7 linked regions of the Macaca fascicularis genome follow. The protein of the gene in region 7 interacts with the protein of the main gene of each other region in a biochemical or structural test. Links are inferred from orthologs where the notes say so. Each region holds a gene or a part of one and is shown on either strand. Other genes may lie near its edges. The genes, in order: ATP2B4, CFTR, FCHSD2, SDC2, F11R, PRKN and CASK.

Evidence for each region.
Region 1: the proteins of CASK (region 7) and ATP2B4 form a complex in vitro, tested with the Homo sapiens proteins (2 studies listed by BioGRID and IntAct, with this or other methods). The link is inferred for Macaca fascicularis from reciprocal best matches to the Homo sapiens genes CASK and ATP2B4.
Region 2: the proteins of CASK (region 7) and CFTR interact in a test that uses a peptide from one of them, tested with the Homo sapiens proteins (2 studies listed by IntAct, with this or other methods). The link is inferred for Macaca fascicularis from reciprocal best matches to the Homo sapiens genes CASK and CFTR.
Region 3: the proteins of CASK (region 7) and FCHSD2 form a complex in vitro, tested with the Homo sapiens proteins (2 studies listed by BioGRID and IntAct, with this or other methods). The link is inferred for Macaca fascicularis from reciprocal best matches to the Homo sapiens genes CASK and FCHSD2.
Region 4: the proteins of CASK (region 7) and SDC2 form a complex in vitro, tested with the Homo sapiens proteins (2 studies listed by BioGRID and IntAct, with this or other methods). The link is inferred for Macaca fascicularis from reciprocal best matches to the Homo sapiens genes CASK and SDC2.
Region 5: the proteins of CASK (region 7) and F11R form a complex in vitro, tested with the Homo sapiens proteins (2 studies listed by BioGRID and IntAct, with this or other methods). The link is inferred for Macaca fascicularis from reciprocal best matches to the Homo sapiens genes CASK and F11R.
Region 6: the proteins of CASK (region 7) and PRKN form a complex in vitro, tested with the Homo sapiens proteins (2 studies listed by BioGRID and IntAct, with this or other methods). The link is inferred for Macaca fascicularis from reciprocal best matches to the Homo sapiens genes CASK and PRKN.

What each region holds. Positions count from the first base shown.
Region 1 is NC_088375.1:61,454,026-61,458,169, forward strand, and holds the start of ATP2B4 (plasma membrane calcium-transporting ATPase 4), read left to right. Parts: upstream 1-1,344; 5' UTR 1,345-1,768; intron 1,769-2,471; exon of another isoform or gene 2,472-2,616; intron 2,617-4,144. UniProt on the Homo sapiens protein: Calcium/calmodulin-regulated and magnesium-dependent enzyme that catalyzes the hydrolysis of ATP coupled with the transport of calcium out of the cell. By regulating sperm cell calcium homeostasis, may play a role in sperm motility.
Region 2 is NC_088377.1:158,928,661-158,932,634, forward strand, and holds the start of CFTR (cystic fibrosis transmembrane conductance regulator), read left to right. Parts: upstream 1-1,174; 5' UTR 1,175-1,394; intron 1,395-1,724; exon of another isoform or gene 1,725-1,746; 5' UTR 1,747-1,795; coding exon 1,796-1,848; intron 1,849-3,974. UniProt on the Homo sapiens protein: Epithelial ion channel that plays an important role in the regulation of epithelial ion and water transport and fluid homeostasis. Mediates the transport of chloride ions across the cell membrane.
Region 3 is NC_088388.1:71,646,070-71,649,569, forward strand, and holds part of FCHSD2 (F-BAR and double SH3 domains protein 2), read right to left. Parts: intron 539-3,500; coding exon 455-538; intron 333-454; coding exon 155-332; intron 1-154. UniProt on the Homo sapiens protein: Adapter protein that plays a role in endocytosis via clathrin-coated pits. Contributes to the internalization of cell surface receptors, such as integrin ITGB1 and transferrin receptor.
Region 4 is NC_088382.1:106,270,548-106,274,047, forward strand, and holds part of SDC2 (syndecan-2), read left to right. Parts: intron 1-276; coding exon 277-410; intron 411-3,500. UniProt on the Homo sapiens protein: Cell surface proteoglycan which regulates dendritic arbor morphogenesis.
Region 5 is NC_088375.1:100,036,717-100,040,831, forward strand, and holds the start of F11R (junctional adhesion molecule A), read left to right. Parts: upstream 1-1,315; 5' UTR 1,316-1,324; coding exon of another isoform or gene 1,325-1,400; intron 1,401-1,606; coding exon of another isoform or gene 1,607-1,729; intron 1,730-2,202; coding exon of another isoform or gene 2,203-2,365; intron 2,366-2,451; coding exon of another isoform or gene 2,452-2,503; exon of another isoform or gene 2,504-2,647; intron 2,648-4,115. Other genes in the region: USF1 (upstream stimulatory factor 1), read left to right, coding at 1-76, 267-356; TSTD1 (thiosulfate:glutathione sulfurtransferase), read left to right, coding at 1,325-1,400, 1,607-1,729, 2,203-2,365, 2,452-2,503. UniProt on the Homo sapiens protein: Seems to play a role in epithelial tight junction formation. Appears early in primordial forms of cell junctions and recruits PARD3.
Region 6 is NC_088378.1:8,862,521-8,866,020, forward strand, and holds part of PRKN (E3 ubiquitin-protein ligase parkin), read left to right. Parts: intron 1-2,139; coding exon 2,140-2,380; intron 2,381-3,500. UniProt on the Homo sapiens protein: Functions within a multiprotein E3 ubiquitin ligase complex, catalyzing the covalent attachment of ubiquitin moieties onto substrate proteins. Substrates include SYT11 and VDAC1.
Region 7 is NC_088395.1:41,941,292-41,945,522, reverse strand, and holds the start of CASK (peripheral plasma membrane protein CASK), read left to right. Parts: upstream 1-1,431; 5' UTR 1,432-1,929; coding exon 1,930-1,988; intron 1,989-4,231. UniProt on the Homo sapiens protein: Multidomain scaffolding Mg(2+)-independent protein kinase that catalyzes the phosphotransfer from ATP to proteins such as NRXN1, and plays a role in synaptic transmembrane protein anchoring and ion channel trafficking.

The sequences.
Region 1 (4,144 bases), on a different chromosome or scaffold from region 7:
TGGGTCTAATTCACAACTCTGTTTCTCCATGTGCGTGTGGCTCTGCTTCTTGGGGGCAGGGATGACAGCAAAGAAGGACAGGGGTGGTGTGAGGTGTTGGGTTAGAATGATAGGATCAAAGAGGCCTTTTCCCAACCCTCTGTTTAAAAGGTTGGGAAGTAGTGGCCAGTCACCTTCTTCACAGCATAGCTCATAGCTATAACCTGTGAGATATATGTCAACACGCCTTCCACAAGCATATAAACATGAGTGTGTTTGCTGAGGTAGGTGTGGGAATCTGTCAGTCAATGAAGATATGTTGTTGTGTGAACTAGCTGATGGTGCATGTTTGTGCTTGAAAGCCATAAAGTTCTATGCAAAATCTATGGGTGGCACTGTTGCACAATGCTAGTGGGTGTGTGGGTATGGGGGTGTGATTAACAGTTTACAGGCTGTGTATAAGTGTGCAGGGATGTCTGAGTGTGTCCAAATTAAAACAGAAATGTGTGCCAGAGTATGATACAAGTACAGGAAAGTACTTGGGCTTTGGAGTCCGTCTGACTTGGCCTTGAATTGTTGGCTCTGTCATGAACCAGATGTATAACCTTGGGCCAGACACTCAATCTTCAATTTCCTCAGCTAGGAAATGAGGCTAATAACAAGTACCTTTCAAAATTGCCATAAGGACTAGAAATGATATCGTATAGACAAAGCTTTTGGTGTCATAGCCTACGCATAGCAGGACTCAAAAGTAGGCAGCTATTTTCATGCACTGTCAGTATACCTCTGGTGGGTACAGGGGCAAGAGGGAACAAAATGTGACCTGTATATAAGGTGTCGGGGAGGAGGTGTGTGTGTGTGTGTGTGTGTGTGTGTGTGTGTGTGTGTGTGTTTACAAAACAATTTATTCTCCTTCTCCAAGGAACCCCCTATTCAGACAGGAGCAGGAAGGTGGGAGGGGACATACAAGTGTCCACAGACACCTTGGGTTTCTGGGTCCTGGATCTAAGTGAGTAAGGGGTTGAGAGGCCCATGGGAGCTGCAGGAAGCCAACCGCCTGCCGAAGCTTCCTTTTTTTTCCCCTCCGCCCAGCAACCGTTGAATACCGCCACCCACATCCACTCCCCACCTCCACCCTCACCCCTCCTCCACCCCACTCAGCTTTCTATTCAACAAGTGAGAGCAAGGGTGGAGAAGAAAGCCGACAGGGGAGAGGATTCCTTCCCTTTCTTTCCCCATTCCCCCTTAAGACGAACCAGGAAGCAACCGCAGGAATCGGGCCACCTTAACAGTAGAGTAATGGTTTGGCCTCATGCCAAGTCCCACCTCTGTTCCAGCTCCTGCTCCTCCCCTCTCTCTTCCCGCACTGCTTGGGGAGAGCTGGTGAGCAGGAGTCTGGCCCGAGTTAGCTAGAGCTGTTGCCATGACAAGCATTTTCTTAAGAAAGCTCTGCTGTTGAGATTGTCCAACGCTGGGGGCTGGGAGGGGGGCACGAACTTCCTGGGCAACCATCCCTCTGAAGAGAGCAAGATCAGAGACACCCGTCCAGCTCTCCTGCACCCTTTTTCTTTCAGGAACCTGAGAGGTCCTTCCCATTGGAAGGGCAGGGGGAGGAGACCCAGCCCACTCCCCGGCCTTAGCCGGAAAGGCAAGAGAGCAAAGCCAGCGTCTCCAGCTTGGTTGCCACACTGGGGAGACTGGTGGGTGGTCACTCCACCCTACCCCCATCCATGGAAACCCGGAGGGAGAGTCCCACTTGGAGAAACCTGGATCTTTGCTAGAAAGAGAGGTAGGCTTGCAGAGAATGAATTGACTTGTGATTTGCAAACTTTGTTTCTTTCTTTTCTCTCAGTGGCTTCTAAAACTCCCCGATTTTCCTCTTTCTAGCATATTTCATGCGACTGGGTTTGGAGGATTTTTAAAAATATGTGTGTGTGCACAGATTTGTCAAATACTGTTTTCTGAGAAACTGTATAGTCAAATAAGTGATTTATCTCTCTTTTTTTAGTTCTTGTCATTCCTGTGCTATGGGGTAGGGGAATGGAGGGACTCTCTTTTTGACACCAAAATTGAACTCTTGGAAAAAACATTTATCTCCCCTCCCTCAACCCATTCCATTCCTGCCCTCCCCTTCCCCCTTGGCTTGGGAATGAGACGCAGGATGGAAAACTGTTGCAAAAATATTTTCCGTGTCTGTTCCCTTTCTCAAAAGCCCAAAAGAGAGATGGGAAAAAAAAAAAAAAAGGAACTAAAGAAATCTTCGGCAGGAAAGGGGGGCTGCAGCGGGAACTAGGAGAGGGGCACTTTGGGGCCATGGGGTAGAGGTGGGCTGGGAGAAGTTGGGAGGAGTGGGGGAAGGAGAGTGCACAAATTAAATTTCTTTAGCTTTGCAGAGAAACCTAAGCAGTTTCTCTGTGTTGCTTGCAAAACATCCTCAGACTTTCACATCTATAATTAGCTGTGGAAAAAGCTGGGAGTTCCCTCGTACCGCTGTTGTTTGAGAGTGTGTGAGCGTCCAGAACCAACTGTATGAGTGTCTCCGAGGGCACCGCCCCACACATCTCTGGTCCCAAAGGGGAGGAAGGAGAAGGGTGAATTGAAAAGTTTCCGATTTCAAGGCTGGAGACTGTGGGGCTGGTGAGTGTTTGGCAGACGGGGTGGGCCACAGGCATCTGTGGAAGGGTCCCTGAGCATCTTGGGTCATTTCCTTGGTTTGCTGAAGAGCTAGGAATTAAGAATGGGATTGTCCTTCCTGCTCTCCTTTCTCTCTTTCTCTTACGTACTTGGTTCGCTCTTGGTAGAGGGGGCTGCTGGCATCCTTCCCCGAGTCACGTCTGGCCTCATACACTCCTCCACCTCCCTGAGGGTACCCGCCGCTCTTCTCCAACTGGGTGTGGAGGGTGCAGGAGTGGCCAGCCACATCTTGGGAGGGGAGTGGGCACTCTGCTGGCCAGAGGCACCTCCCTCCTGGGCATTCCTGCCGGACTTACAATAACTTGCAGACATGATGCCGGCGCCTGCTGGCCGGGCAGGGGGAATGTCAGATGAAGCAATAGGCCGGCATTCAACTGAGGCCCCTGTGGGGAGGGGAAAGGAGTTGGGGAGGGAAGGGAAACAAAATCCCATTCTGTAGTGCTCCCTCCTCTGGGTGAGGAGTCTGGCAGGGAGTCTAGAGACCCTCGCCCTGCTCCTTAAGCCCCTCCCCAAGCTGCCCTTTCTCCAGGGCTTCTCATTGGAGGCCCTCCTGTGCCCCCTTCACTCTGGGCCCTCTACCTGGAGGAAGGAGACCAAGCTTATTCCAGGCTGGGCCAGGCCCAGGAAAGGAGCCTGGGGGTGAGGAGGGGCTGGGCCAGGAGCGTTTAGGAAGAAGGGGACGGAAAGAGGCCTCCTAGCCCATGAGCTGAGTTACCCTCCTTGGCTGAGGGTGGTGGCTTGGGGAGCAGACTCCGGGAGGGGCAGGAAGGATGGTGGCAGCTTGGTAAGCCGTGTTCTGGAAGGTGGGCCCTAAACCCTGAAGCAGACAGATCTGTGGGAATCAGGCTGGGGGAGAGGAAACACCTGCCTTCAGCCCCAGGGCTTGGAGGAGTGGTAAAGGCTACAGCTGAGAAACTGGGGGAGAAGGAAGCAAAACACTTAGAGGAGAGCTCATCTCGGGGCTGAGGAAGCAACAGGAACCGATTTTCATTTTGAGGTGTTAATTGATCTGACTGCACCCCATTGGCTAGACTCTTCCCTACCTGTATTCTGGTCGGTAAGGGAATGAGGCCTTCCCCAGTGGGCAGGGGCCCCAAGACAGAGAATCAATGCCGGTGTTCTGGAGGGAGGGGATCCATTTCTTTGCTCCTCCTCGGGAGTCCCATCCTCCCTGCCACCATCTTGCTGAGGTGCAACCCCGAAAATCACGCCGCTTCCGCCGCGGCCTCCCGTCGTGGGGGCCCAGAGTGTCACTATTCCTGCAGCCGGCCTTCCTATTTTCAGTAATCTGATTAGGGGTAGATGTTGACGGGCTCAGGGACTGTTTCTCCGTGAGGTCGTTATTTAGCGCGCACCGGGTTGCCTGCTCCCGCGGCTTTGAGCCTGGGGTCGCTGCCAAAGCGGGGAATCGGCTCCCGCAGTCTCAGCCCTTCCCCCGGGGCTCGGGGCGGGATCGACTGCGCAACCCCGC
Region 2 (3,974 bases), on a different chromosome or scaffold from region 7:
TGGGGAAGTGGATGGAGTGAGTTCAGTCACATGTCTGGGAAAAGTCAATAGTGAAGACAGTCTCAATTTTTGTCATACTGGAGAGTGAAAACACAGGTAGAGGATTTCAAACAACAGGGTGGATGGTGAGTTAAAAGTGCTAAAGTTCTTTCCTGGTGTCTAACTTAATGCAATGTGGTTTATCTCTTTGCCCTTTTCTCTACTATTCAAATTTAGGATAATAAAGATTAAATGTTTCTAAATCTTACTTTACAATATTCAAGAAAAAAGGTATGCTTTTGTCCACTGAAGTGCAAAGCAGAGCTATGAAAACCTGCTGAACACATTCTTTATTTTCAACACATGTTCTTGTCTTTCCATCATGAAATGCATGTTTTATTTGTACTGTAGTTGGGTGACCACAAGTTAACAATAAGATCATTCACAAGACCCTTGCCTTAGATGTGTTGACAATGAAGTAATCAGGCCAAAATTTTTACTTTCCTTTGAATTTTTCAATTCAAACACAATGTGTGCTTGCTTTTACACAATAGGGTTCAGGGATTAGAGGGTTGGCTCTTTAAATACCGTCAGAGACACAGGCAATCCTACACCAAGTGCTCAGAAGGAAGGCGCCTACGCCTGGGAATGTCCAGTTGCCCTTGGAGAGTTGAAGATGGCGTTTCTCTGAGTCAGGTCAAAGTTAACACATTACCTTCGCTTCAAAGACTGCTTGGATTCCTTTCGGTGGATTAGTCAAGATGTTTTGCTGACTGAGACTAGGAAATCTATAGGAGGGCGGGTTAGTTTACATTGTTGCTTGTCATTGTCGCTAAAACACTCCAAAGCCCTCCTTAAAAATGCACACTGGACTAAAAACGACAGACAAGGAACAAATCCTGGGCTGGTAATTAGGCGAAGCACTATCTCCTCTTACCTCCTTGTAGATTTTTTTTCCCCCTTTAAGTACGTGTCCTCAGATTTCTTTGTCATCCTTGGAGTTCACTCACCTAAGCCTGAAACTAATAAAGCTTGCTGCTTTTCTCCAACACGCAGAGGAAGCGCTAAGGTGAATGCATCAGACCCACACTGCCGCGGAACTTTTCGGCTCTCTAAGGCTGTATTTTGATACACGAAAGGCACATTTTCCTTCCCTTTTCAAAATGCACCTTGCAAACGTAACAGGAACCCAGCTAGGATCATCGGAAAAAGGAGGAAGAGGAGGAAGGCAGGCTCGGGGGAAGCTGGTGGCAGCGAGTGCTGGGTCTGGCGGACCCTGCCGCGAAGGACGGTCCAGGAGGCTCTCCGGGGAGCCAGTTCTGCCGGTGGCTTCTTCTGTCCTCCAGCGTTGCCAACCGCACCTAAAGAGCGGCCGCGACTGTCGCCCACCTGCGGGATGGGCCTGGTGCTGGGCGGTAAGGACACGGACCTGGAAGGAGCGCGCGCGAGGGAGGGAGGCTGGGAGTCAGAATCAGAAAAGGGAGGTGCGGGGCGGCGAGGGAGCGAAGGAGGAGAGGAGGAAGGAGCGGCCGGGGTGCTGCCGGGGGTGCGTAGTGGGTGGAGAAAGCCGCTAGAGCAAATTTGGGGCCGGACCAGGCAGCACTCGGCTTTTAACCTGGGCAGTGAAGGCGGGGGAAGGAGCAAAAGGAAGGGGTGGTGTGTGGAGTAGGGGTGGGTGGGGGGAGTTGGAAGCAAATGACATCACAGCAGGTCAGAGAAAAAGGGTTGAGCGGCAGGCACCCAGAGTAATAGGTCCTTTGGCATTAGGAGCTTGAGCCCAGTCGGCCCTAGCGGGGACCCCAGCGCCCGAGAGACCATGCAGAGGTCGCCTCTGGAAAAGGCCAACGTTGTCTCCAAACTTTTTTTCAGGTGAGAGGGTGGCCAACCGAGCTTTGGAAAGACACGTGCCCACGAAAGATTAGGGCGTGTGTATGGGCTGGATTTGGGGAAAAGAAATAAGCAGTTTTTAAAAAGATGCGCTATCATTCATTGTTTTGAAAGAAAATGTGGGTATTGTGGAATAAAACAGAAAGCGTTAAGAAGAGATTGAAGAATGAATTGAAGCTGATTGAATAGACAGCCACATCTACTTGCAACTGAAAAGTTAGAATCTCAAGACCCAAGTATGCTACTATGCAGTTATTTTATTTGATTTTTCTAAGAAACTAAAAAAACTTGTTAATAATAAATACTTAAGTGTGGTTTATTGGTTTTCCCCCTTCATGCCTTGGACACTTGATTATCTTCTTGGCACATACAGGTGCCATGCCTGCATATAGTAGGTGCTCAGAAAACATTTCTTGACTGAATTCTGCCAAAAAAATTTTTGGGGTAGGTAGAAAATATGTGCTTAAAATATTTATTGTTATGAGACTGGATAAATCTAGTATTTGTCACAAGTACATTGTTCTTTAAAAATTGAAAGCAAATTTGTTGAAATATTTATTTTGAAAAAAGTTAACTTTACAAGCTATAAATTTTAAAAGCCATAGAAATAGATACTGAAGTTATATCCAACTGACATTTAATAAATTGTATTCCTAGCCTAATGTGATGAGCCATAGAAGCTTGCAAACTTTGAGCCATAGAAGCTTGCAAACTTTATCTAATGAGATTTTGAAAAACAGCGTCTAAGTTCGGAATCTTAGGCAAAGTGTTATTAGATGTAGCACTTCATATTTGAAGTGTTCTTTGGATATTGCATCTACTTTGTTCCTGTTATACCTGTGTGAATGAATGAGTAGGTACTTCTCTCTCGTGGGATATTACTTGACTCATAATTACCCAATGAATAAGCATACTGAGGTATCAAAAAAGTGAAATATGTTATAAATAGCTCATATAAGTGTGTAGGGGGGAAGAGATTTAGCTTTCACATTTCTGTTATGTTTAGTTCTCTGCATGTGCAGCTAATCCTGGAACTCCGGTGCTAAGGAGAGACTGTGGCCCTTGAAGGAGAGCTCCTCCCGGTGGATGAGAGAGAAGGACTTTACTCTTTGGAATTACCTTTTTGTATTGATGTTATAGCACCTTTTGTTACTTCTTCCATAAAATCGGCTTATCTATTGATCTGTTTTCCTACTTCTTATAAAATCAGAATGTTAATTGGCATAAATTATAGACCTTTTTAGCAGAGAACTTTGAGGAAGCTAAATGCCAATCAGTCTAAAAATGCAGTTTTCAGAAGAATTAATATTCCATGGATAGTTCTAAATACTAATGAACTTTAAAATAGCTTACTATTGATCTGTCAAAGTGGGTTTTTATATAATTTTCTTTTTACAAATCACCTGACACATTTAATATAGGTTAAAAAATGCTATCAGGCTGGTTTGCAAAGAAAATGTATTACAAAGGCTACTAAGTGTGTTAAGAGCATACTCATTTCTGTTCTCCAAAATACTTCATAAGTTGCTCCAAGAATAGGTATGTTTTTAAAAGTTAAGTTCCTACTATTTATAGGAACTGACAATCACCTAAAATACCAATGATTACAAACTTCCTTCTGGCCTTCTGGACTGCAATTCTTGTAAAAAACATATTTTTTGCATTAAGTTAGGCAGTATTGCTTAGTTTTCAAAAGTGGTAGATTTTGGAGTCAGATTATTTCGATTCAGATCCTACATCTACTGTTTAGTAGCTGTGTTGCCTGAGGCAGGTCCCTTAACATCTCTGTGTGTGACTTGACCTTTAAAATTTGGAGACTGTCATAGGGGTTAATCCCTTGAGAAAATGAATGTGAAGGGTTAGCCCAATGTTAACTGCTATTATTATGGATTACCATATTTTTACATTCATTACAGTACATGTACCTTGTTAATATAAGATGTTCAATTCATCTTTGAGTATAATTTTGTGACTCTTAATCTGGATATGCAATGAGTGGGCCTGGATGAGAATTTAATTTATGAAAAATTGTGTTTCACATGGCCTTACCAGATATACAGGAAACACATCATATGTTTCTATCATAGGTTGTTAAATGCCTTAGAATT
Region 3 (3,500 bases), on a different chromosome or scaffold from region 7:
TTCTACTGTGCAGGACAAATGTGACCATATAAAGAAGAGCATATTATAGGACAGGGGGAAAGTTGTGCTTTTTATCCTAGTGAAGGCTTACTCCAGGGCAATACAGTTTAGGTCAAATGTGACCAAATAAAGAGTGCCTTGTTTCAGTCTTTACCACTGGCATCTCCGTTGAGGCTGCCTGAAACGAGTTCTGCTTCCGTGGAATTGCTGGACGTGTGTGACCGACTGTCCAAAGTGGCCAGGGACTGCAGCATGCTCAGGAGGCTGTTTGAGGTGGGAAACTGTAGGTACTTTTCTGGCACATAACCCACTTGGCCAACTTTATTTCGAGCCTGGGTAAAAGACATGTGACAAAACAAGTTTACACACACACAATTTAGACAGGGTACAACAAAGACCAAAACGAACTCCTAAAAATGTCACAAGAAGGGGCGATATGAGCAAAGGAATATACCTTTACCCAGTCTTCCATATCTCCATCTTCAATCACTTCTAACACCTCATGTTCCTCAATGGTCAACTCATCTGGTTGAGAAGCCTGCAATGTAGGATGGTCATGGACAAAATTAAAAAGGTTAGATAAGGAGCAGATGTGGGCTGATCATGACAAAAACTGGGGATCAAAATATTGAAATGATATTGAGAAACATGTTGAACATAAAAATTTAAATGCTGTAAAACTTTCATAATGAGGTGAAGTTTTACTTTAAAAAACTAAACAGAATAAAACCGTAACAAAAACCGAAGAAACTGAATCCTCAAGAGGCAATGAGGTTCAATGAACAGAACATGTGAGCCTGGGCAACACAGCAAGATCCCCATCTCTACCAATAAATAAATAAATAAATAAATAAATAAATAAATAAATAAATAAAATTAGTCAGACATGGTGGAATGTGCCTGTAGTCACAGCTACTCGGGAGGCTGAGGTGGGAGGATCGCTTGAGCCTGGGAGGTTGAGGCTGCAGTGAGCCATGAGCATGCCACTGCACTCCAGCCTGGGCAACAGAGCGAGACCCTGTCTCTAAAAAAACGAACAAACAAAAAAAGAGAGCACTTCCTGGAAGTAGAGGACCTGGGTTCCAACTCCAGCTTCTGTATCAAGTTATTCAACTTGATGCCTCCATTTCTTTGAAATGACAATCCTGCCATTTTCTGGAGGATGTGAGTCAATGTGGGATGAATAAGCACAGAAGTGTGATGATTTGGGAAGCAAAAGCAAAGGAGAAGGCACTGAGTTGGAACTGCTACCAGAGGGCTCCCATGGACAAGCATGCAGTGAAAATGCAAAGAACTATGTACATGAATTTGATGACAGTGGGTGCAGTGCCTAGGATTGATCTGGAAACACTGTAAAGCAGTGGCTAAAAGAAGAAAATTGTAGGAAAGGAAATGATTGAGATCAGTCATGGTTTGGATTTCTTATGTTCCAACTTAACGGTGTGGAGACTGAGCTGATCCACTTGCGTGCTACTGCACAAGCTGCTAACCATAATGGTTTTCTTTTTTATCCCTGACAATAGCAGTCCACCAGCATCAGCCATCCACATGTTGCCCTTGAGACTGCCAAATCTGTAAATGCTCTGAGGCTCCACAGAGGGGCTGGAAAGTCCATGTGGCTTTGCTTCCTAACAGCCTTGCCTGTCACGTGTAATAGGCAGGGGCCTGCTGTCTTCTGGCTCTCTAGAAAACAGTCTTAAAAGCTTTTCTCAAGTCCCAAGATGGGTTAGAACCATCACTTAAAACCATAAAGTTTTTAAAATCTCAAAATCTCAAAGTGTAAAATTAACTCCAAGTTACACAAAAATAAGGCAAAAAAGGGGGTCATTTTCAAGATCAATTTCCCATTTTATGAACATTAAAACATTTCATCAAAATCCAGATTCTGGATGTTGCCATAGCTCCCTGAGACAGAAAAATTATATTGAGGATGGCTGACCAGTCACAGAATACTCGAAGGCCAGATTTTAAATTAACTCTTATCTCAAAACATAAGGAAAAAACCCCACTCATTTACCCTTGATAGCTTTTCCAATGGAATTCCTTCACTACTCTGAAACTACACTATGCCTTGGATATGCCAGCAAAAGGCACTTTTGTAATAAAAATGTTTTCCATGGCAAGACCTAGAAAGTATCAACACAACCAGACGTTAATGTATGTGATAGCAAACCAGGGAGGTAGTACACTTTCAAATAAACTGCTGCCCTTATAAAAACCTATGGAGAGGCTGAGTGAGGTGGCTCACGCCTGTAATCCCAGCACTTTGGGAGGCCAAGGTGGGTGGATCACTTGAGGCCAGGAGTTTGAGACCGGCCTGGGCAACATGGAAAAACGCTGTCTCTATGAAAAATACAAAAAACTAGGTGGGTGTTGTGGCACGCACCTGTAATCCCAGCTATTTGGGAGGCTGAGGTGGGAGGATCACTTGAATCAGGGAGGCAGAGGTTGCAGTGAGCCAAGATCACACCACTGCACTCTAGCCTGGGCAACAGAGCAAGACCCTGTCTCAAAAAAAAAAAAAAAAAAAAAAAAAAAAAAAAGCCATGGAGGTCCGTGCAAGTTTTTCAACACTGCAGCACTAGTTGTCCAATGTAAGCAGACACTAGCTTGATCATCCCATCCTAAAGCAGTGATGACCAATTCTTCCACCTAACAAGGTGGAAGTTCTTTGTGTGGCAATCACGACCCTGCAGTTTGGTCCCTGTGGGCCAAAGTGGGCCTCTAGACACTTTGGCCCCTGCACACTATTCCTATTCTCTGAGCATATCATGTTCTTCCTTGCCTCTGTGCTTTTATCAAGTGTTCTTCCATCCAGCAGGCTCTGTTCCCTCTTTCCTATCTGATGAGCAGACTCAGATTACTGTGGGTTTAAGTCCGGCTTCAGTATGTTTTTATGGGCAAGTGACTGTAAGATACCTTTGAACTTCAGTTTTCTTTTTTTCTATTAGAATATAAGCTCCATGAGGGCAGAGATTTTTGTCTATTTTGATCAATGCTATATCCCAGAGCCTAGAAAAGCCCACAGCACTGATACACGGAAAGTGCTCAAGCACTGTTTCTTGAATGAATGGGGTGCTTGATAATATCTTCCTCATAGGGTTACTGAAGGGATTACAAATAAATAGATAGATAGATAGTAGTTATGATTACTTTGGATTTGAGACTGAGCGCATATGTTTTCCCAGACTACTCATGATGAGTAAGCTGCTCCTCCTTTTGTTCTTTTTTTTTTTTTTTTTTTGAGACAGAGTCTCACAGTTTGCCCAGGCTGGAGTGCAGTGGTGCCATCTCGGCTCACTGCAACCTCCTCCTGGGTTCAAGCAATTCTCCTGCCTCAGCCTCCCAAGTAGCTGGGAATACAGGTGAATGCTACCATGCCTGGCTAATTTTTTGTATTTTTAGTAGAGATGGGGTTTCACCATGTTGGTCAGGCTGGTCTCGAACTCCTGACCTTGCGATCCGCCCACCCTGGCCTCCCAAAGTGCTGGGATTACAGG
Region 4 (3,500 bases), on a different chromosome or scaffold from region 7:
AGCAGGGAGAGAAGGAACATGCAAGTGAAAGAACTGCTGCTTGAGTGTTGAGGATAATCATATTAAGGAAAAACTTGCTAGGCTACCCACAGACACCTTTGAAATCACTTCTTCATCGTGGTGAAGACCACAGGAAGCTTTGTGCTGAAGTCTTAAGGAGCCAGCATTTTGAAAGAACGTGATTCTGTCAGTGTCAACCTCAGGCAATAGTGCCTGATAATGGAGACATCTGTGTCATATTCGCCATACTCAGTTCATCTTCACTTACTTTTCCAGGAGCTGATGAGGATGTAGAGAGTCCAGAGCTGACAACATCTCGACCACTTCCAAAGATACCGTTCACTAGTGCTGCTCCAAACGTGGAAACCACGACGCTGAATATACAGAACAAGATACCTGCTCAGACGAAGGTGTGTTCCATTTTCCATTGCATTGCATTAACAGGTTATTATAAATGCTCCACTTTACTGACTGTACACACAGTCCCTTTTTTATTATTTTCTTCTTTTTTGGAGCTGCCCATCATGAACTATGTACACAACAGTTCTTTTAAAAGGCCCCACTTAAAATTGTATAAGGACAAATGGTCTTAATGGTGGTGTTATAAATGGCTCTTCCTTACGCTTTTTGATCACTTTGGCATTTACCCACGTATGATTTCTGTCATCCTGGCTCAAATTATATACAACTATTTTTCACATGGCCCTCCTTCTTAAGGAACATCTGAAGCCCAGTTAAGAAGTAAAGCCCTGTTTCTTTGGTTTCCTGGTTTGTAGGTACGTAATTAGAAGACTCCAGGTCACATCTTGAGATGGTCCTAGTCTCACTAAGTCATTTCTCAGTCTTCTTAGGCCTGTCATCAGTAGTATGTAATCCTTGACCTCTCTCGATGTTGATGAACCTGGGTACATCTGTATATATTCATTTTGAGAGCTGACTTATTCAGAATAAGAACTTTGGCGTTAGACCTGAGTAAAGTGACCAGCTAATGAAAACTTGGAGCTTGTGATTTTGACCTTGTTAATATTGTAGTTAGCTGACCATCCACTAATAGGTAACCCACTGAAGTTAGAACATGCATATTAAAGTCTGGCAAAGACCTACGTTTCAAATCCTGGGTCCAGTCATGTTTCTTAGCTTCTGAACCCATTTCCTGTGGGCTGTGAAGAAGATGAAATGCGAGTGCAGGTAGCATGGCACCTGAGACATAGTCACCATTCTGTAAGCATTAACTGAATTTGGTGGAGCAGAAGAGACCAAGCCAGTTCACCAAATGAGCATGTGTAATAACTGTAGTGGTAGACTTCGCAGTCAGTGCAGGGGTAACAGACGGCTTATGAAAACTCAGAAGCACAAGCATCCCCTTTTGGAGCTCACCCATCTGTTGATTAGAAATGAGATGCTGCCAAGCTTTAGCAGCAGACAGGATATGGATATGGAAGGCTGTTTGATGAAGGTGGCGACAGGCCTTCCTTAGAGTAAGAATCATCCCCTCTTCAGGCAGGAATGCATGTGGGCTTTTCTTACCCTTGCCCCAGAGTACCTTTGTTCTTCCTCCTCTTCCTCCATCCTCCCAGTGCATGTGACTGGAATGGTGAATGACACAGCTGGACAGGTCTCCACAAATGTGGAACAGCCAGGAAGCCAGCCCTGTCCAAATTGAAGTACTCTCTGTAGGACCAAGAAGAGTCAATTACTGTTAGTGGTAGACTTCACAGGCCAGGCGGTAGGAAGGCAGGGAGAGAGCCCTATGAGAACTGAGAGCGACTCACCTGGCATATGCTGGATCCCTGCATAGAAGCTACTGTATCAATGTATAGTTGAGTGAATGAAACAAAAAAAGAAAGGGAGAAATGAAAAGTGTAGGTGCAGTTGGTGTTAGGATGACTGAATGCCTCAGAGTGTGTGTGGCACAGTTATCTGCTATCTACTAAATATGCATTTGGCTCTTACCACATTTTTATTTGACCACTTCTCTTGACTAAATCTGTTGAAGTCAGAGACAATTAGGACTCACTAGCTTGAGGGAAGACACTCTCCTGGGTGAGTTTTGGCTTGTAGTGATAGAGAGTTGTATCCTAAGCAAGACTTAATTTGACATAGAGTTCTGGTTTGTTAACAAGAATGAATTGACCACTAATTTAAGTTTTTAAAAATTGGTTTTAAGAAAGTAATTGCATCAGATCGAGATAAAAAATATAGAACTTTGGCAGGTGAACTTAAAAATTAAGGAGCCCAAACTATTTTAATACTTTTATATTCTTACTATCATTTGTGTTCTATGTAGTAATAATAAAAATTCATCCATTTATGGAAGATTTATTGAGTGCTATCATTATGTGTCGAACACTGTTCACAGCACTGATAATGATAATATTGATCATGAATAACATGAATAATGATGATTAAATTTTTCATTTTGGTCTTTATGTGGTACAGCCGAATTGAACATTGCCTCTAGGATACCATTAGTGTAGATTTTGCTTTTGAATCGGTCTCACAGTGGCATTAATGTCACTGTTACAGATATCCTCTCTAGTTTGTTATAAATTTAAGTGACTAAAATGCAAAAAAAGCCATCTCATTATTTGTTTGAGCAGAGCATCACTCATAAGCTTTTACTTCTGTTCCATTTCCATGGCATCCAAACAACCAGACATGGATGTGGCAGATCTTTACTTGGCCTCATTTAATCATCCCTGCTGCCTTTTTGCAGATTGATTTTGCACATATATTCATACAAGAGTTAAGGTATTTCAGATTAGTTCCATATTACAAAATGGTTTCTTCTTAGTCAAGCCTCTGCCTCTATACGATAAAACATTTCGACTTGAAAAATGAATTTTCCACCCAGAGCTGCTTGAGGCTTGTGCACTTCCAGCTGCAGGGCGGCTCCAGTTATGTGGAGTCCTTCAGTCCCCATACTCTCAGATCCCTGGATTGCACGCTTTGTTCAGCCTGCCGGATCAGAAGCTGAGTCAGAGGAAACTGAAAAGATCAACTCTCTTAAATGACTTTAGGGACCCAAAAATCCCATGGTGAAACCATATGATTTGTAATAACAATGGAACAAAGATGATGTGGATATGGATAAATTAAACTCAGTCTCTCATATTACAGTGACTGCTTATGTCCATTTCATTTCTCACCAGAACTTGTTTACCTCTCTCCTTAGTCACAAACCTGAGTATTCACCTATTTGATATTTCTCTTCCCTTTTCTAACCTGTGATAGTAAAGCAGTACTAATGAGCAGTGAAAAGGTTTCTAGACTAGAACCCAGATAATCCATTCTCTGATCTGTTGTCCGTCCTTCCACCAGGCAGCCAATTAATGATGGGCTTTTCATGAGAAGAATAGAAAAAAATCAGGAAAAATACTGCCAATGTGCTGCTCTCTTCTGCTTTACTTTGGTACCCGAAGGCCTGGGAAGGCCTATCATAATTTTCTTCTCTCATAGTAATAGAGAGGACCGTGACCTTTTCAGTGCATATTGTGCAC
Region 5 (4,115 bases), on a different chromosome or scaffold from region 7:
GAGTAACCACCGCTTGTCTGAAGAACTGCAGGGGCTTGACCAACTGCAGCTGGACAATGACGTGCTTCGACAACAGGTCAGACTCCTACCCCCAGTGCAGCCCTTCTCAGCTCTGCTAGCCACTGACCCAGTTTGACACCCTCTACTTTGTTCTCCATGGAGAGGGCTTCATCTTTTCCCCTTACCAGTGGATGTCTGAATACATTCAGGGGCTTGGTAGTGCCAACTTTACTACCCATTCCTTTACTGCCTCCTTCCCTTGTCAGGTGGAAGATCTTAAAAACAAGAATCTGCTGCTTCGAGCTCAGTTGCGGCACCACGGATTAGAGGTCGTCATCAAGAATGACAGCAACTAACTATGGGGATTCAGGGGCTTTGGGCCCAAGAACTGCAGATAGCCCAGGAGCAACAGCCTAATCCTGTGCCCCTTTCCTTCACTGCCCACTTCTGGCATGGGACAGGGGGAAGTTCAGAAGGTGTGTCCTTGAACTGAGGCCCTGTGATATGGCAGCCTGCAGTGGTGTGAAACACACAATGTGGAGGTGCACTGACAGCCTTGCCCACCCCCACCATGCAACCCCTGGGCCCTTGTGCTCCTCTTGCACAATGCATGTGCTGCCTCCATGCTGGATACTGGACACACTAAACTGGGGGGCTTGTCCTGTACTTGCTTAGAGTGCCCAGCAGAGGTCTGCTGACAGGTGATGCTCTGGCTTGCCCCAGGACTCTGGCACTTCCATTGGTTCTTCCTTTCCCTGGAGCTGAGGTTTAGAGGTGCACCCTGTGGCTCAGGGGAGCAAGCTTACACAAGAAGTGGGGGAAGGGTGTTTAGCAGTGGCTGGTGCCCATGAAGAGGAGATTGGCCAGCGAGAAGCTGAGGCCTATGCAGACGTCTCTGAAGCCAGAGAGAACAACAGGCAGGGGTCCACTTGGGGCCTTCCCCCTTATGGGGGTCTTTTTTTTTTTTTTTCTTTCCTTTTCCTTTTTTTTTTTTTTTTTTTTTTTTTTAGGATAAAATTGTTCAAAGCCACAGTTGTCTGTTTTTCTTCCTTTTGTGGGGCCACAGGCTGGAAGGGAGGGGCATTGCTCTTTGACCAGTAAGGGCTGTGCTAAGTTCAGGGTGGGGTGCTGCTCCTGCACTTATTACCCGGAGACCTGGTTCCTGGGCCAGACCGGTCTGTCGTTTTTGGCCCACGCTAGAGAATGTTAAGGGCTTCTGCAGTAGACTGGTGCTAGAGACGCCGTGAACAGGTGCTGCGGGGGCGGTGCGGGAGGCGGTGCCCTCGCTTCCGGATCCGGTCTCAGCTCCGGGAGCGAGTGGGAGATGCTGCAGGCTACGAGGGGGGGGGCCGGGGCCGCACTCCGGAGACTCGCAGTTGCTGCGCGCACCATGGCTGGAGGTACCTGCGGGGGATGCCTGGGACCGCGGTCCTCTTGGCCCCTTGAGTTGAGGTGTGGCAGGGGGTGGGGTGGGGGAGCGAAGGGGCGTGGTTGAGGGGTCTTGGTGCATACCCTACCAGGGAGGGGCGCTGCCAGGTGAGGGGATACCGTGGCGGCCATGACTCCTAGGCCCCTTCTCCTGAAGGCTGTCGCGCCCCTTCCTCAGCGCCCACGGTCTCGCTCCCTGAACTCCGTTCACTCCTAGCCTCCGGCCGGGCCCGACTCTTCGACGTGCGCTCTCGGGAGGAGGCGGCAGCTGGGACCATCCCAGGGGCGCTCAACATCCCGGGTAAAGGGTGGAGAGGGGACGCCCAGGTGGTGGAATAGAGCCGTTCAGGAGGGTCTTTGCCAGTGGGACCTCATTTAGGATGGAATGGGGAAGGCACTGATTATGGGGGTCCTGCATTCCCGGGAGCCAGCCTTCAGCTTCCTGGGAAGGACTGATAGGAGGCGGATCCTGGCATCGGAACTGGCCCATCCAGTTTGAGAAGACAGCAGGTGGAGAGGAGAGGGGCAGACCAGCTTCTCTTGACCTCCCCAAGTCTGGACGCCTGAGGGAGCATCCCGCCCCGCCTCCTCACAGCTTGGGGAGTGGCTCGCATTCAAAAGTCGTTGGTTTCTGGTTCTTGAAATTGGGGTGGGGGTAGGGGATGGCTATCATATGTTGTTTGGGGGCCCCCAGGACCCAGCCTTTCCAGGCCCAGCTTCCGAACCTGAGTGCCAAACTGCCGGCTTTCCCTTCTACCCTCTCCACTCCTCCAGTGTCCGAGTTGGAGAGTGCTCTGCAGATGGAGCCAGCTGCCTTCCAGGCTTTGTACTCTGCTGAGAAGCCAAAGCTGGAAGATGAGCATCTCGTTTTCTTCTGTCAGATGGGCAAGCGGGGCCTCCAGGCCATGCAACTGGCCCGGAGTCTTGGATACACTGGGTACGGGGAGGTATGGCTGCTAGCTGGGAGGTGATGGGGACTACCTGTCATTCCTGTCCGTCTCTCACCCTTCTTTATCTCCACAGGGCTCGCAACTATGCTGGGGCCTATAGAGAATGGTTGGAGAAAGAGGGTTAGGCAGGAGGCGGCTTACTGATTGCCACCCCCTGGCCCCTTAATGGCCATCTTAACTAAGGGTGTGAAGGGGCTGACTTGGTGAGTTGGGCAACTCCTTATAGTGTTGTGCACACAAAAGCATCAAATAAAGAACATTTAATCAAAGTATTGGAAGCACTTAATGTGTCAGGTGGACTGAAAACAGTTCTAATCTTTATCTAGACCTCAATTCAGTCCTGGATCATCATTTCTCAGCATTCATCTGCTTCCCCTAGCACTCCCCACATGCAAAATTCTAGCAGTTTCCTGAGAGGCTACAATGTACAGTACTTCTAGAATAGCTGTTTTCAACCCAGAATGCACATCAGAATCAGCAAGTTTTTTTTGTTTGTTTTATTTTTTAATTCAGAATATGGAGGGTGGAGCCGGAGCATTAGTGGCTTTATGGGCCCCTGGGGTGATTCTTATATGCAGCTAGAAGCAGGTACCACTGCTTTAGAGGTCAGCAAAGTATGGCCCCAACTGGCTGGCTGCTGTGAACTTTGGTTATTGTCTATGGCTGCTTTGTCCATGGATTAAGGAGGTGAAAGGGCAATCCCAGGCCTTTGGGTGAGGGAATGGATAGCACCCTTCATCCCTACCGATGTGTCATGCACAGATTACAGGCGTGAGGAGCCTTTCCTGTGCCACCAAAACCAGGTTTCGGTTTTTATCAACACTGATCTCTTATACTGGATTTAACAAATTTAATTGGTTGACCAGGCGCAGTGGCTAAGGCCTGTAATCCCAGCACTTTAGGAGGTCGAGGTGGCAGATCACCTGAGGTCAGGAGTTCAAGACCAGCCTGCCCAACATGGTGAAACCCCATCTCTACCAAAAATAAAAAAAGTGTCCGGGTGTGGTAGTGCACACCTGTAGTCTCAGCTACTTGGGAGGCTGAGGCAGGAGAATTGGCTGAACCCAGGAGGTGGAGGTTGCAGTGAGCCGAGATCATGCCACTGCACTCCAGCCTGGGTGACAGAGACAGACTCGGTCTCAAAAAAACCAAAATTTAATTGGTTAAAAAGATGAAATTATGCATGCTTACTGAAACAAAATTCAACACTACACAGTAGGTATATGACTTCCCTCTAATATAGTGTATAGTTTGATGCACAATACATTTTAAATATTTTTGTGGCAGAGTTTTTACCTCTTAAGTTTGATTTTTGGAAAATGTATTCCTTAATCTGTGGAAGAGAAGATTGAGTCAGAAATGAATCCAGGTTTCTGAGTTTTCATGCCTCTGAAGAACTTCTTTCACGCATTTCCTGTATTCCTTGCCTTTCTCTCACGTCCTTTTCTTCCCGTCTGCCTTCTCCACTATACCCAGCCCTCATTCATTCATTCATTCATTTTTGAGATGGAGTTTCGCTCTTGTAATCCATCCTGGGATTACAGGCATGCGCCACCATACCTAGCTAATTTTGTATTTTTAGTAGAGACGAGGTTTCACCATGTTGGTCAGGCTGGTCTTGAACTTAGGTGATCCGCCTGCCTCTGCCTCCCAAAGTACTGAGATTACAGGAGTGAGCCACTGCACCTGGCCCCTCCTACATCTTTTATCTCATAGTAGGCACTCTATACACAATGA
Region 6 (3,500 bases), on a different chromosome or scaffold from region 7:
GTGCCTTGCCGATATCAAAGATTAGGTAGGTGAAATTCAAGATAGTGATTCTCTTGCAGCCCATTACAAAACATGGGAGGATAATGAGACTTTCAGGTGGAAGGGGAAGGCTCGAAGTGGGTGATGTGGGGGATGGTTTTTCCTGACAGAACCAGGGAAATCATGCAGGGGAGGACTTCAAGTCAGAGAATGATGAACAGTGGCCCCTGCTGAGTAGGAACAGTCCTGGGGAGAGGCTGGGAGCTCTGAGAATGGGGATCGGGAGGGGCACAGGGCCTGGGGATGAGATGGAGCCCCAGGGTGTGAGAGTAGAGAAGAGGTCTGAATGGGATTTAAGGACAAAGGGTGTCCTGGTGCCGTACTGGATGGAGGAGCCAGACTCCAGCCGTTGTATTTGTGGTCAGATTGTTGGTGAGTGCTGGGCATCACTGTTCGAGGGACATTGATGGTGAAGGCAACAGAAGAGCTTGAGAAAGCAGCAGGGGAGGGCATCATTTACTGCTGTTAGTTATGGATGCATTTCATTTGAGTGTCCTGGGAGCATTCCTAAAATGAGAATGGCAAGAGGTATTTGAAAGGCATTGATTCATTTTAATTTTTATTTTATTTTGCTTTATATTTTTTGAGATGGAGTCTTGCTCTGTTGCCCAGGCTGGAGTGCAGTGGCATGATCTCGGCTCGCTGCAACCTCCGCCTCCCAGGCTCAAGCAATTATGTTGCTTCAGCCTCCTAAGTAGCTGGGATTACAGGCCCATGCCACCAGAGCTGGCTAATTTTTTTGTATTTTTGGTAGAGACGAGGTTTCACCATGTTTCCCTGGCTGGTCACAAACTTCTGGCCTCAAGTGATCCGCCCACCTCAGCCTCCTGAAGTGCAGGGATTACAGGCGTCAGCCACTGTGCCCGGCCACATCGATTTGCTGAGAGAGTAAGGTCCTTGCTGTGTCTTAAGAGGGTAGCAAGCAGATCAGTAACTGCTTCTATGTAGTAGATATTCTTTTTTTTTTTTTTTTTTTGGTGGGGGGATGGGGGTGGGCATTCAAGTGATTCTCCTGCCTCAGCCTCCTAAGTAGCTGGGACTACAGGCACACAGCACCACGCCCGGCTAATGTATTTGCAGTAGAGACGGGATTTCACCACGTTGGTCAAGCTCTTCTCGAACTCCTGACCTCAGGCGATCCACTCACCTCGGCCTCTCAAAGTGCGGGATTAGAGGCCTGAGCCACCGCGGGCGGCCCTATGTAGTAGATATTCTGAAACTAGAATTCCATTTAGGGTAGCCTAGTTCTTGTCCTGGCAAATAATCTGACTTTTAATTTTTATGCTAGAAAATGTTAAAGTCTTCTTCTGTTCCTACGTGTCAATATATAGATGCAAAACCTTTTTGTAAATGTTTGCTGATTTTCATAGTTAAATCGACCGAGAGAGAATGAACCGTGGGTGGCAGGAGTGTGCTCCTGCCTTGCTTCCCCACTGGTGTAACGATGTGTGTTCTGGTGCCCGTGGAGGGGTGTGTGTGGAGTCTACTCAAACACATTCATTTCCAATGCTGTACGGAAATGCCCTCTAATTGATAATAACTTTCTGTACTTTTATAAAAAAGAAAAGAATGACATATCAATTCTGATGTCAATCAGTTTTATTATTTAAGAATATTTTTAGTAGCCAGGCGTGGTGGCACCCGCCTGTAATCCCAGCTACTCGGGAGGCTGAGGCAGAAGAATTGCTTGAACCCGGGAGGTGGAGGTTGCAATGAGCTGAGATGGCACCACTGCACTCCAGCCTGGATGACAGAGTGAGACTCCATCTCGGGGAAAAAATAAAAAAAGAATTATTGTTTTCACTGTGCTTATAGATCCACTTTGGTAATTTTTTTTTTCCTGGTAGATTTCATGTCCTTTTGAATATGACTTCAGCGTTCTGTTGTGTTTCACGTATCCCCAAATTTCTGTTTCTGGCCCCAGTTCAGTGTTGTTTGTCTACCATGTGTAGTGTGTAAGTGCTGTGGCCAAACATGTGCCTAAGCTGGTCAATTACATGTCACTTTCCCTTCCCTTCTAACACTGAGGACAAGTTAAACTCTATCTGGCATTTCATGTTTGCCATTTCCTTGTTTTTTTTCCACCTTGCTCCCAAACAGAACTGTGACCTGGATCAGCAGAGCATCGTTCACATTGTTCAGAGACCACGGAGAAAAGGTCAAGAAATGAATGCAACTGGAGGCGACAACGCCAGAAACACGGCGGGAGGCTGTGAGCGGGAGCCCCAGAGCTTGACTCGGGTGGACCTCAGCAGCTCAGTCCTCCCAGGAGACTCTGTGGGACTGGCTGTCATTCTGCACACTGACAGCAGGAATGACTCACCACCAGCTGGCAGTCCAGGTAATTGGAATGCCCTAAGAGTATTAGAGCATTCTGTTTGTTTGTTTAGTGCAGTCTCCATGGAGCATGGCCTCACCAGGTGCATATTTAGTGTCGATACGTTTTGGATTTGAGTCTGTAATTCACTCCAAGGAGACATCACTGTAGGTGGAGTACTTTGATGTAAAATTTGAGAATGCACTTATTATAAGTACTATGAAACAGGTTTTCACATTGAGATTAAATAGAAGAGATATGTTTCTAGTGATGTAGAAAAATTCTAAAAAGTAGAAAGATTTTGAAAGCTAATCGAGCCATTTGTAGTTTCTCAAGCCACATATTCCAATGGCAATGACATCCTTAGTGTGAAAGGATTCTTCCTTCTCTGTTCTACCACCCATTTCAAAATGCTTTTCTTTGGAAAAGATGGTTATTGTTTAGTTATTTTTAAAATATTAATATGTGTCTCTTAGTCTTTTATTCTCTAAATAGTCAAAGGTGTAATAGAATTAATTTTTACTGTGTCTGACAGAATACACAAAATAATCACAATGACTTTACAGGGTAGAAGTTGATTTTCCTCCCACATACAATAGATCCTGGCAGTTGTGGGCTGGTATGGCCTTCACAGTGTCAGAAAGTTCTGGGACCTGCAAGATGGAAGCCTGACGTAATAAGAAATGCCTCCCACTAAAATTACTAAATAAAATTTAAGGAATTAAAAATTTTCAATGAGCTTGCAAAAAATAAAAAAAAAGATAATTTTCAAGGACAAGTGAAAATGTAGAAGCAACATCTTTAAATACAGGAGTAGATAAACCCAGAAAGTAAGGCATTAGCTGATGCTCTGGTGATCTTGAGATGACTGTGGGAGGGAAAGAGGCTCTGCTTCATGTGAGCTGGGCACCTCAGGTCTGGAAAGAAAAACTGAGAAATGGAAACAAATGTCAAAAATGGGGAAAAATGAAATAAATCTAAACCCCTGCAATGCCCTTGTGATCCAGGATATGATAAATTAATATAAATATCAAACCCAAGCTCCTCACAATTCTGATGTTTCAACCAGAGTATGTAGAAGATCATTCTGACATTGACACCTCTAGAGAAAAACAAGCCCTACTAAAGGATACTCAGTGCTCCA
Region 7 (4,231 bases):
TGCTTTTTTTTTTTTTTTTTTTTTTTTTTTTTTTTTTTTTTAAAGGTTTAGTACCCAAATCCTTAGCAGGCAAATCTCTCAGCCTTTTGAGGGAGTGGTCAAGGGTTTGCACGAAACGTTTCTGAAGAGAAAATAGGCTGTGAGTCTCCACATCACCCCCTCCACTTTGGTATTAATAAATACTTTTTTAAAAAAATTACCACACTGAGAAATTTACCATACGATTTCTGGAAACTGACTTATGAACTAATTGGGCACTTTTGCTATGCGGAGGAACAAAGACTCTATTGGTCTTCAACTGAGGCATATACCTGTCTGATGGCGTTGGCTCATTCCGCACATGCTCAGTTGAACAGAAATCTTCATATTGAATGCAACCTAGCACAGCGGCAACACCCAGAACCTCACTCCCTGGCTGCTCCTGTGCCTGCACTGCCTCTAGTTGCATTTTGTTCCTGACAAGTCTAACATGTATAGGGAGTATACAGAGCAGAGTAGGTGCTGGGAGTTTGAGGGCAATATACAAAGGAGCTTAAAGTCGCGGTTTGTCCCTGTCTTCCTGGCTTCTCTCTAGGTTGGTCTCTAGTGAGGGTAGGCGCTGGATAGGTATTTGTTGAGTTTGGGGCAGAACGTGGGAGAAGCTGTCTCTATAGATGACCGTTTGCTGTCGCACACCTTCCTAGGCAGTTTTTGTTTAGTCCTTTTCTCGGACGACCTCCCCTTGCCCCCAGCCCTCATCTTCATTAAGGAATGACAGGGTAGCACTAAAAGCATCCGCTGCCAAGCACGGATTCAGTGACAACCTCTCTCCACCTCTCTTTTAGCTTTCTCATTCATTAGCACCCTATCCCTGCCTCTTTTCCCAGCAAAAAGCTGGGAAAGGCTCCCTGCGATTACAAAAGAAGGAAAGGGGAGCGGCCAGAGTTTCGAGCCTCTTGCGGGACAACGAGCGTACAGCCGTGGACCTTTTGTCTCCAGCCCCTTTCGCGGCTTGGTCGCCGCTAGGCGCGGAGGCGACGACCCCAACCAGCCCCGCCTCGGCAGCTGCAGCCGGCGCGCCCCGCTCAACCCCCCGCGCCCTCTAGAATCCCGGTGCCCGCCCGTTTGCCGTGACGCGGCCCGCGCCGCGCGCATGCGCCGCTCAGCCCGCTCCCCTTACCCTGGGCCACCGCCTCCCGACGGGCTAGAGTGGGCGGAGTCTGTGGTTCTGGAAGCCGCGCCGCCGACGGGGGAGGAGGGCGTGTCTGCGCGAGGCGGGTGCGCGGGGCTGGCTAGCCGGTCGGCTGCTGAGGCGGAGGGGCGGAGCAGAAGGCGGCGGCCGCGGCTCCCGCCCGCACAGAGCGCCAGTCCCGCGAAGCCCCCTCCCACTCCCGGGCGGGCGGTGGCGGCTGCGGGAGGAGGAGAAGTAGGAGGGAGCGTCTCTGCCACCGCCTCCTGGTCCCCAGCGCCGATCCGCCGCCGCCACCTCCCTCCGCGGCGATCCTCCCTCCATGGTCCTGCCGCGGCCCCCTCTATAGCCCGAGCTGCTCCGCGACGCGACGGAGCCGGCCTCGGACAGAGGGAGCGGTCGCGGCCTCGCGGCCCGCGCGGGCTGACTAGCGGAGAGCGCGACGCCGCGCGGTCCCCGAGGATCCGCACGCCGGGCAGCGCGGCCCGAGCAGCGCGAGGAGCAGCGGGCGGGCGGGCGGCGCCGGGCCCGGGCCGCCCTCGCTCCCACGCCCCGGCCCCGCCGCCCGCGCCGGGGCGGTCGCCTGCAGAGGAAGGCGCCGCAGTCTCTGGGCCTCGCGGCACCACTCGAGCGTCCTCGGCACCGAGGGCTCGCGGGTCCTGAGGGGAGGAGGCGATCCCGGGGCTGGGCACTGAGCTCTTGGGCGCCCCCACCCCCGTTTTCGAAGCCCTCCACGCTGCGGCCGCTATCCCCTCCGGACCATGGCCGACGACGACGTGCTGTTCGAGGATGTGTACGAGCTGTGCGAGGTGATCGGAAAGTGAGTCTCCACGCGAGGGAGCGGGAGTGTGGAAAAATGCATTTCAGTGATGCCCCGGTCTTCCCGCACCCGCTCCGGGCCTGCCCCCTGCCCTCTCTCCTTCCCCTCTTCCCCTCTTCCCCTCTCGTCCTTCTCATCTTGGAGTATTTATAGACGTGTACCTGGAGCTCCTGCCAGGCGGGGGCCTGGGGGTTCTCAGCGGTCCATTGAGGCCACCGAGCCGAGGCTGGCCACCCCGTAAGGCGTGGGGCCGGCTGCCTGCATTTTATCTGACGGTTGCACAGGGACGTGGCACAGCCGATTTTATAGTTGCTTCAGTTGGGGTTTTTGTTACCTTGCATGTGCCATAGACCATTTTTGAAAAGAGCAGCTTGCATTTCCTTTGCTTGTGTGGTAAGAGAGAGAGAGTGAGTCCAGGGTTTTAATTGTGGGGTGTGTGTCTATTGTGCGGGATATTAGACAGATGCCTTTGTGTACACCCCATGCCCGGATTGGAGGGGATCATTTAAGACCGGGTGCGTTCAGTTTCAGCACATTCCCTCCTGGTGTACATGAACGTGGAAAGAGTTGGGGGCATTCGAATTTTTAATGCTTCGTTATGCAATGACTGTTCAATCAGTGCTCGAGGCTCCCCTCGACTGTTGTTGGGATGGTGGTTAGCGTGGTAGAGCCGTCTGCTTTGAGTCACCGGGCTGGTCTAGAATATAGAACTGACAGTCCAAATGCTCATCCTTTCATCTGTGTTGTATAATTACGCTGGGGAAAAGCAGGGAATCAGATTAATCACAGTGCTGATTGAGAATTAAATCTGCAGTTCCTCATCTAATTGTCCATTCCTTAAATCTATTTTGAATAGTTTCCTTTTCATTCTTGTCAAACAGTATTCCAAGTGCACAATCCTGCTAATTTGCTTGTGAAGGAAATGCTGGCAATCTGAAGTTGATTTCCTAACACGGCGTGTATTCTGTGGCTTTAGAAGTTGAGGAGATAAGATTTAAGAGCAAATTTTTGCTTAATAAGGATCGCTAGAGCTACCATTGAAATATCTTACCTCTTTTTTTTTTTTTTTTTTTTTTTTTTTTTGGAAGCGGTGCTTTATTGTCTATTTTAAGGTCCACAGTTGGGAAATGAAACCAAGACCTTAGAGCAGTTGGCCCTATCTCTTTTAAGTTGTCTGCAGTACACGATTTCAATTTGAGTGCTAATTTGTTTCCTTTTCTTTCCATATTGAGGTATTACAGTGTTGCCTCACATGGTGAAATTGTGGGTAGAGCTTGCTACACACTTTACTCAGACCCAATTGATATGAGGACATGTTACTCCTTGCCCTATTGTTACATGACCAGCCAGACTGTTAAAAGGAAAGTATCCAAATGTGTCCTGTTAAAGTGGTTGTGAAGTGTTCTAGAACAGCACTGTCCAAAAGATATATTATGAGCCACATTTGTAATTTAAAATTTTCTAGTAGCCACATTTAATAAAAATATACAGGTGCAATTAATTTTACTAAAATATTTTATTTAACCCTGTAGATCCAAACTTAACACTTAAACATGTAATCAGTATGAAAAAATATTAGTGAAGTATTTTACATCTTTTATGCTAAGTCTTTGAAATCCCAATGTGTATTTTACACTAACAGCACATCTCAATTCTGACACTAAGCTACATTTCTGATAAAAATCAGAAATACTTAATCTGTATTTAGGTTTCATAAAATGTGCATTTACAAAAGTAGATTCACATACCCAAGTTACCCAATATACATACCCAATATACATAAAAGTTTTCCAATAACTGAATCAAGTACGTTTTTCTAAATTTAAATTTTAATTAATTAAAATTAAATAAAATTCAAAATTCAGTTTCCCAGTCGGACCAGCCACGTTTCAGGTGCCTAGTAGCCACATGTGAATAGCACAGTTCTAGAGAGAAAAATGTATCAAAAATCTCCTTGGTTTCCTCATTCTTAGCAGCACCCAGTGAAGATAAATTAGGTGTTTCCCAAGAGCCTCCAAATGACCGTATGTGTGGGTGAATTACGTTTGTTGCATCTTAGTTATAGCTGATGTAAATGAACTAACAAAGTCATAATTGGAAAATGTGAGATTAAAATGTTAATTATATTGTGAAGATGGAAAATAGCCATCACTGAATCAGTTTTGGTAACCAGTTCTGATTCCTTAAGGTCTGGAAGGGCGATGATGTGATCTCTTTGGATATCAAAAAGAAATGGTCAGAAT